Linked DNA regions of Coturnix japonica. The protein of the gene in region 1 purifies or fractionates together with the protein of each later gene. This does not show direct contact. Links are inferred from orthologs where the notes say so. Each region holds a gene or a part of one and is shown in the gene's direction. Other genes may lie near its edges.

Evidence for each region.
Region 2: the proteins of UBE4A (region 1) and UBXN4 purify together in Homo sapiens (affinity purification with mass spectrometry; 3 studies listed by BioGRID and IntAct, counting the BioPlex papers as one, with this or other methods). This does not show direct contact. The link is inferred for Coturnix japonica from reciprocal best matches to the Homo sapiens genes UBE4A and UBXN4.

What each region holds. Positions count from the first base shown.
Region 1 is NC_029539.1:3,764,879-3,769,482, reverse strand, and holds the start of UBE4A (ubiquitin conjugation factor E4 A), read left to right. Parts: upstream 1-1,728; 5' UTR 1,729-1,851; coding exon 1,852-1,978; intron 1,979-2,195; coding exon 2,196-2,372; intron 2,373-3,150; coding exon 3,151-3,263; intron 3,264-3,425; coding exon 3,426-3,578; intron 3,579-3,750; coding exon 3,751-3,910; intron 3,911-3,996; coding exon 3,997-4,199; intron 4,200-4,496; coding exon 4,497-4,604. Other genes in the region: G protein-activated inward rectifier potassium channel 4-like, read left to right, coding at 1-829, 949-1,196.
Region 2 is NC_029522.1:27,814,458-27,819,022, forward strand, and holds the start of UBXN4 (UBX domain-containing protein 4), read left to right. Parts: upstream 1-1,692; 5' UTR 1,693-1,747; coding exon 1,748-1,829; intron 1,830-3,764; coding exon 3,765-3,867; intron 3,868-4,565. UniProt on the Homo sapiens protein: Involved in endoplasmic reticulum-associated protein degradation (ERAD). Acts as a platform to recruit both UBQLN1 and VCP to the ER during ERAD.

The sequences.
Region 1 (4,604 bases):
GAGGATGAGAGGCTGCTGGGTTTGGTTGGCAAGCAGCAGCGCCAGCGCTACGTCACCAAGGTGGGCAAGTGCCAAGTGAACCTGGGCAACATCCAGGAGAAGAAGAGGTTCCTCTCAGATATTTTCACCACTATTGTGGACCTGAAGTACCGGTGGTTCCTCTTTGTGTTCATGATGTGCTATATTGTCACCTGGGTTGTCTTTGGCACCGTCTATTTCTTCGATGCATGGGTAAGGGATGACATCAACCACATCGGGGACCCAGAGTGGAAGGCTTGCATCGAGAACGTGGACAACTTCATATCTGCCTTACTCTTCTCTGTGGAAAGCCAGAGGACCATTGGCTACGGCTCCAGGATCGTGACAGCCAACTGCGCCGAGGGCGTCATCCTGCTGATGGTGCAGTCCATCATAGGCTCCATGATTGATGCCCTCATGGTGGGCTGCATGTTTGTCAAGATCTCCAGGCCCAAAAAGCGCGCCCAGACCTTAATCTTCAGTAAAAATTGTGTCATCTCCCATAGGGATGAAAAGCTCTGTCTGATGTTCCGCATCGGGGACCTCCGGGAGAGTCACATGGTGGATGCAAAAATAAGAGCCAAACTGATCAAATCCCGACAAACCAAAGAAGGGGAGTTCATCCCCTTGGAGCAGTCGGAGCTGAATTTAGGCTACGATACAGGGGAGGACAGGTTGTTCCTGGTGGAGCCCCAGATCATCTGCCACGTCATCAACCAGCACAGCCCCTTCTGGGACCTGTCGGCGGAGTCGTTGAAGAGGGAGCAGTTTGAGATCATCATCATCCTCGAGGGTATTGTGGAAGCTACGGGTGAGTGAGGAGGGGTTGGGGTCAGGCAGAGCCGGGTATGAGGGACAGGGAGTGGGGTCTATGGGCAGCTGCTTGTGTTAGTGTGATGCAAAGTCCATCTCGCCATGTCTCTGCTGCAGGGATGACGTGCCAGGCCCGCACCTCTTACACTGAGGACGAGATCCTGTGGGGGTATCGCTTCGAGCCCTGCATGTCCTTGGAGAAAGGAGCCTTCCACGTGGACTACAGCCGCTTCGAGCTGACCTTCGAGGTGCAGACGCCAGCAGTGAGCGCCAGGGAGATGCAAGAGATGGCGGAGCTGGAGCGCAGGGACCGCTCCACACCCAGCCTGTGCTGGGAGCTGCCGCCACAGCCCTGTGGGCCCTGACATGGAGGCTCAATGCAACTGTTGTTGTGTCACGGGGCAAAGAACCCCTCAACAGGACATTAAAAGCTGTTCATTGCAATGGTGATGTGTGTGGTGTTGGCTTGGAGCATATAGGGCTGCTCAAAGGGCATTTCTCTTCCTGGCCTACTCAGCCAACTCAGCGCTATTGGGACATGGCAATGGGATAAGGCCTCATGGGTGGGGTGGGAGGGAGGTTGCAATACACACATATAGGATCATAAGAGATCAATGAGTCCAACCCTAGTGAACCACAGCCCTAAGCACTGCATCCCTACGGCTCTGAACACCTTTAGGGACAGTGACGCCAACACAAGACATCCATAAATCAATATTATATCCTAAGTGTGCGAATTCCAACATAAACTAATTAATTAACTAATTAACTAATTAATTAACTAATGCATGTGGGTGGCACCAGTTTTTGTTTACATGGAGTCCTCCAAGACGCCAGGGGGAGCTAAAGCACTGCGACACCCTCTTGTATGGACATTATATAACGTCATTAGTGTGCGACGTGCTGACTGAGTAGGAGCTGAGCGCGGCGGTGCCGGGCCTGCCCGGTTCGGTTCGGTTCGGTTTAGTTCGGTTCGTCCCCGCAGACCGGTTGTGTCCGTCCCGCATGGCGCGGCGTTGAATGGAGATGACCGATCAGGAGAACAACAACAACATCTCCGGGAATCCTTTCGCTGCGTTATTCAGCTCCATCGCAGACGCCAAGCAGTTCGCAGCAGGACAGAAACAGCAGCTGAGGCAGCTGGCAGGTCAGGGCTGGGCCTGTATGGGGGGTAAATGAGGGGTAAATGGGGGTAAATGGGGGTTAACGGGGGGTAAATGGAGGTAAAAAGGGGGTAAATGGGAGGTAAATATGGGTAAATGGGGGGTAAGGGGGGGCAGAGGGGCTTCTCTGTGTCCCTTCGTGCCTTTCCATGTCTGTGAGTGCTAAAGGAAGAAGCTCACTCAGGAGGTTTTATTTTGCAGGAGAAGAAACTTCGGTCAGTCAAGATGACTCTGATAACAGCGTGTCCGAGAGCCTGGATGATTGTGATTACTCTGTGGCTGAGATCAGCCGTTCTTTCAGGTCTCAGAGGGAGCTGTGCGAGCAGCTCAACATCAATCACATGATCCAAAGGATCTTTCTCATCACTCTTGATAACAGTGAGTGCTCCTGATGTCCTGTGGTTGTTGATCTGGCTTTTATATGGCCTCAAGGGGATGGGATGCTGGTGCTCTGTTCTCTGGGTGAGCAGTAGGAGGCATAGCCCCTTCTCATACAGCAAGCTCCGCTCTGTTTCTTGTTCTGGTTTAAAACAACCTGGGAGGAATGCAAGGTGGAACAGCTCTGTGTCCTTGAACCACGCAGCTGCTTCGCATTTTATGTTCCCAGAACCTTGAACAGAGCTTGTGTGTTTGCATTGTACCTGAAAGGGTGAGAGAAAACAGCATTACACAACTGCTGTGAAAGGCTGTTTCTGCCTCTGTGCTTGAAAAAACAGGCTCTGAATGCAGCAAATGGAAGTGTCACTTAGTATATCTCACATCTGGCACTATTGTGCTGAGGAGCTTGTGCTGCTCATGCTCAGTGGGGCTGCATGGGGCAAGGATGTGAATAGAGAAACTCCCTGAGAGCTTGGGGGTCTTGTGAGCAACCACGTAGTACCCCAAAGCTTATTTCCTACAAGTGACGTCAGTGTAAGAGTGCAGCTTCTAATGATGTTGGGTCTCTGCTTGCTGGGTTCCCTAATGAAATGTGTTTTAAGCAGGAGCTCATCAGATCTATGTAAAATTGGACAGGGATGCTGGGAGGTGGGCAGTGCTTCCCTGCAGCAGCCAGTAGCAGATGACTGTCTGCCCCAGGCAGGATCCTGCTTGCAGATTTCACTTCTGCAGTTATATTCTATCAGCTGTGACCACAGATGATTTATATTCTCACCAGGTGATCCCAGCATGAAGAGTGGAAATGGGATTCCAGCTCGTTGTGTGTATTTGGAAGAAATGGCTGCAGATCTGGATGACCAAGACTGGCTTGACATGGAAAACATCGAGCAGGTATAATGACTGCGTGCCTCATATCTCATGCAGAACAATGACTGTCCAGATAGAGACTGCATCAGGGCTACAAGAGAGATGCTGATTGTAACTGGCCAGACTGTTAAACTCCTGGCTTGCAGGAGCTGTTTCACTTTCATGGTGTTTTTTTCTTGTATCTAGGCGCTGTTTACCCGCCTGCTGCTGCAGGAGCCTGGAAACAACCTGATTTACATGACTTCTGCTGGCACACAGAATCTCTCTGCAGATCGAGATGCAGGGGAGAAACAAATCCTACGCTACCTCTATGCCTGTTTCCAGAGGGCAAGAGAAGAGGTGGGTAGAAGTTTCTGAGAAGGGAGGTAACTTTGTTATCTAAAAGCTGATCTTTGTTATCTAAAAGCTGATCTTTGTTATCTAAAAGCTGATCTTTGTTATCTAAAAGCTGATCTTTCCATGGCAAGAGGTGGATATGGAGCCTCTGATCCGTTCTGTTCTTTCTGTGCAGATAACCAAGGTTCCAGAGAACTTGCTGCCCTTTGCTGTGCGCTGCCGAAATCTGACTGTGTCAAATGCTCACACCGTTCTTCTCACCCCAGAGATTTATGTCAACCAAAATGTGTATGAGCAGCTGGTGGATCTGATGCTGGAAGCATTGAGAGGAGCACGTAAGTCTGAAGTTAATTAATGTCTTAGTGAGGTTATTGTTAAGAGCTGTGAGTGTTGTCAGTAATTCCCTTGTGTCCCTTGCTAGATTTTGAAGACATGACTGAGTTTCTTGAGGAGGTCATAGAAGCCTTAACGATGGATGAGGAAGTGCGGACGTTTGGGGAAGTCATGGTTCCAGTGTTTGATATTTTATTGAGCAGGATCAAGGACTTGGACCTTTGTCAGATCCTTCTATACACTTACCTGGATATGATCCTTTATTTCACAAAGCAGAAAGATATAGCAAAGGTATGTGCTCTTCAGTTATCAGGAGCTGTTGGCTGCTTTGATTGTTACTGGGAAACCCAACTGGTTGGAATTGTATCATCTTAGTGTTGTCCTATGAATACTTCCGTAGCATTGCTCAGAAAGACAAGAGGTAGAAGAAGTGGGAAAGGAGTTTGCACATGACAACAGGGAAGCAGACAGTAGTCCTAGAAGCAGATACTCTGTGGCACTTCTTGTGCTCTTGTTTCTAGGACCTCATCTTTACAATGTAATTCTGATTTCAGTTTAGGCTGCTGCACGTTCAACTGTTTTCCCTAGGTTTTTGCAGGGTATATTCAGCCCAAGGATCCCAGCAATGGACAGATGTACCAGAAGACTTTGTTAGGTGCCATTTTAAACATCTCCTGCTTGCTAAAGACTCCTGGT
Region 2 (4,565 bases), on another chromosome or scaffold:
CTTTAAAAACTGCCATCGGGTATAGAAATAAACTGTGCTACTGTGTATGATGCTCACCAGTGAAGTTGATTCTTAATTCAGTTCCCATGCCCCAGATGACTGAGAATCTGAATGAGACCTTATAAGGACTGATGGTGACATATCACACTGAGAGCAGTGGAAATTCTGAGGCACAGAAATGCTACAAGGTGGCCATGGAACCTACCGACTTCAACCCAAAGTGATCTGCTACACTTGATTTCCTAACTTAAAGAAACTATATTAAAAAAGAAACAAAACTGCAATATTGCATTACGTCAAACTCAATTTACAGAACTTGAACTGGGGACATTTTGCTTCTTCCTAACACCTACCTTGGAACTCTTCCCTGCAGTTGTGATAAGATCAGTTGGAGAGACTGGCACACATCACAGCCTTGTTGTTTGTACAGTGTCCAAATTAGTTACTGTAAGAAACAGCACTAGGATAGTGCTAGGATAGGCTACAGCACTGATTTACAGATGCTAGGAAACACACCAGAGCTTGGCTCTATGTTAATTTAAATCCTTTTTAACTGGTTTGAACTGATACTTTGATTTGTTAATGGACCACTGATTAGCATCCAGTAACAGTGCAATTAAAAGAAATCCACTCATGGAAATATTTTCCTTTACAATCCAAGAGAATTTTGGGTTGTTTTTTTTGAGGGGGGAAGGTGTGAATCACCAATGTCCTAAAATGTAAACAGCTTTTTTGCATTACTTCAAATACTGATTGCCAAATTCAATTTTGCATATTTATCTGATACCAGCTCACATTTCCACAGGAGTGACAGATGGAATTTCAATCAAATTTGGCTCTGTATGTTCTCAGAAGCAGCAAATGCTCTGGAGGTGGGCTGTAAAGCTTCCTTGCACCTTACACAACATTGCAAATATAAGCAACTTGGGAAGCCGGCTGGGCATGAGAGAACCCTTTAGAATCTTTTCAAAGCAAAGCTCTGGAAGGTACCTTAATCCATGTGCAGCTCTCTGCCCTCCGTGTTCTTCACTGTGCAACCAGCCCAGCCTGATCCCTGTCCTGCACTACAACGCTCCGTGTATTTGCAGCTTTTCAGGGCTATGAGCTGTGGTTAACGGCAGCCACTGAGGCGATCAACTGCAGCAGCTCCTTGACCCTACGGTTAGACGGTGAAATGTGTTAAACTGTAGCTACATGAGAATGTAACAAAAACAATTCCTCTTGATGTCACCCTTACCAGCTGTACACACACAGCGCAGCTCTCACAGGTCGGACACCATGTGCCCTTCCCTTGGCCTGCTCCAACATTTTCTCTCGTTGTGGTGGTGCAGGCCTTGCAGCAGCGCTGCTCCTCACAGCAAACCGCGCTCGGTTCCTTCCCACACACCGAGCACCGCTTTCTGTCAGTTCCACACACACACTTGGCTTTCCCGGGTGAGCCGCACAGCCACACACCACATATGCACAGGCCTCTTTTTCCTCGCCACAGAGTAGCGATGTTTCACAACAGCCTCGAAGCCGGGTCGGAGCGCTGCAAACCGCTCAGAGGCAACGCACGAAGCGCCCAACATGGCACCCAACATGGCGCCCATCGCCCCGCAGCCTGAGGCGAATCTGCCGCCATCGAGCGCGCGACCGCGGGCGGGCACCAATCAGAAGGCGGGGCCGGGCCCACGGCGCAGGCGCGTGACGGGAGATCGGCGCATGCGCACGGCGGCTGTGTCGGCTCCGGAGCCCGGCGGTCACCATGATGTGGTTCGGGGGATCCATCCCGGCCGCCATCGCCGCCGCCAAGCAGCACGGAGCCGTGTTCGTCGTGTTTGTGGCAGGTAACGGCAGATCGGGGCGGGGGGCGGAGCTGAGAGACGGCTGGGGGCATCACCCGCCGTGACAGGGAGTCAGCCGAGCTGTCGGGCCTGAGGGCCGCGAGAAGAGGGAACAGCTGAGGGTTGAGAATGTGTAACTTACAGAATTTTCTTCATGCAACTCAAGCTGCACTGAACTGTCCTGTTCTATTAGATGTGAATGTTGACTGGGTGGCTGTGGGAAGGCACAGCTGCTCAGGCTGGTGATATGACCGCAGGATGGAGCCTTGCTTTGATACTGTGATACTTTGATATCGTGGTGGTGGCAGTGATGTTAGATCTTCATGGCGCAGACTGGCCCATAGGCACACATAAGGGACAGGCAATCCCAAAGCTGCTGGCTGAGCAGGGAGAGATGCTTTCAGAGCTGTTATTTGTAGATGTTGTTTACGCTTTGCTCAGTGATCTGCATCTGTTTGTTTCCATGTGAAACTTCTTAGGACTGAGGAATAGGGGAGTTGAGTCCTTTGGCAACCTGGAGTGGTTTTAATAGGTTCCTCTTACAGGAACATGGTTATTGCAGACTGTGTCTTTTCCAGTGATGTGGATGACGTGGGAGGTGATGGATTGCTGTCCCTGTGCACAGCTCTCACTTGACCTGACCACACTGAAGAGATCAGCACGTGTGACTGAGAGTTGTGTGCAGGTCTTTGATTGCTGCTAAGTGAAATACAGGGATGTGTGGGCACGAGAGTTGTGAGGCAGTTGTATTAACTCAGTGTTGAGCTGAGCCAGCGCTGTTGGTGGCGGCCTCTCAGCTTTCTCCGTGCCTTTCACATTTCCTTTTCAGGATACAGTTACTGCGATAAATGAACGTGAAATCCCAAGTGGGAAAGGGTTATTAACAAAAAGATACCAAGTAGCCGTTCTGTGGGTAGTCTCCAGGTTAAAGTGCTTTATGAGGTAGGGTTTCATAGAAGGTGAGTTATCAGCATTTTCCTTCCTGGGTCACAGCTCTCAGAGACGGCACATTGAACGACGCCTGACCTGTTTTTGTCCTTCAGATTCTTTTGCCAACTGCAGCAGTTGTTTGTCTGGAAAAGTCACCATTAGGCAAGTCTGGAGGTATTTTTAGTAGCCTAATCGGATGAGCACGTGTGAAAGTGTGTGCAGCACAGTGTGTGCAGCACAGCGTGTGCAGCACAGTGTGTGCAGCACAGCGTGTGCAGCACAGTGGCTCTGTCCCAGCGTGGGGCGGGGGCAGGAGGCCGCACCACTGGGCACAACAGCTGCAGCCACCCGCTGCACTTGGCTCCCTAAAAATATCCCAAACGTGAACTTGGGGTATGTGGGCTGATAGGAGGTAACTGCTCTTGGGGTATGTGGGCTGATAGGAGCAGAGATTAGTGCTTCCAGGGGAAAATCAGGGTGTACGGATGGAAAACACTTGTCCAAAAGCAGCGTGCTTTGTATTTGTTTCCTTCTGAGCAGCACTGCGACCAGTCCTGATTTAAAGGAAGCAAAGCTTCACAGGGGGATTCCTGGTTGTTCGTGAGTAAAAGATACCACGTGAAATAGCGACTGGGGTGAAACATGCAATGAGATGATGCAATCAAGCCAATCCCCAGTGCCATCAATCAGTTCCTGCTCCTTTATCCCTGTTCCATCTGTGCGGTCCAGTCCCTTCTGCTCCCCTGGACTGACTTGCCATGCAGCTGAATGAGCGTGCAAGCTACATGCTTACTGTCTTAGAAGGGTTTTTGGTATATTTGCCTTTTTTTGGCATGTTAGCAAGATGAATCAGCTGCAGTGAATTACCTCCAGATTATAGGAAAGAAAAGAAGATTAACTGTTTTGCAAATAATTGACAGTCTCTTTCATCAACTACTTCAAGCAGCTGAAGCAGAGCTGAAGTCAGGGGCGGTTGTTTGTTCAGCTTCGTGTGTGTTGTGTTTGCAGGTGAGGATGAACAGTCGGCTGAGATGGCTGCAAGGTGGGAGGACGCTCAGGTGACCGAGGCTGCCTCCGATGGATTTGTTGCTATTAAAATCGACACCAAAAGGTTTGATTTAACTCTAATTCTGTCTCTTATACAGTCTTTCATTGATGATGATGGAAGTATGAGGCATGTGAAGTTCTCTCCTTGCACTGGAGGTAGTTAAATACAGTGTTTGAGGGCATAAGTGAGTTCAGTACTGCTGAAGCCACCAGAATCTGAAAAAAATGAAAATCTGCATTGTTGTGTAGAATATTCTCTGTGTGTTTCCTGCTGGCTTCAGCATTAGTAGAGGAATGCTTGGGGATGTCCTCTTGTAAAAGAAAAAGATGTAAAAAGATAATGTGGAATCAAAAAGCAAGTGCTCTCAAGGCAGCCCTTTGTTCAGTAGGATGGGTCTGTGAGGCCCTAGAGAAATTCTCTCTTTTGTAACACACAGCACGGAAGCATCGAGGCTTCTGGATACAACACTCAGCTTTGTCAGAGTAAGAACTTCAGCTCCAGTGAGGAAAGTGCATTGATGTGTCCAAAAGTTGCATTATTTTAAAAGGCTGTACAGACCCTTTAGAAACATGGCACTGTTTGCACTCAGTGGGTTAGACGTCTCCTTCCTATACTGCTTCTTAGCACTGCTTCCATAAATAATCTACTGCACTCAACTGTGATAAGCAGGGATTGATAACACTTATGCAGAATGATAATGAGAAGATGCAACACGAGTTTGCTTTTAGTGTTTTCTCAAGTATTTAAATAGTTCCGTGTGT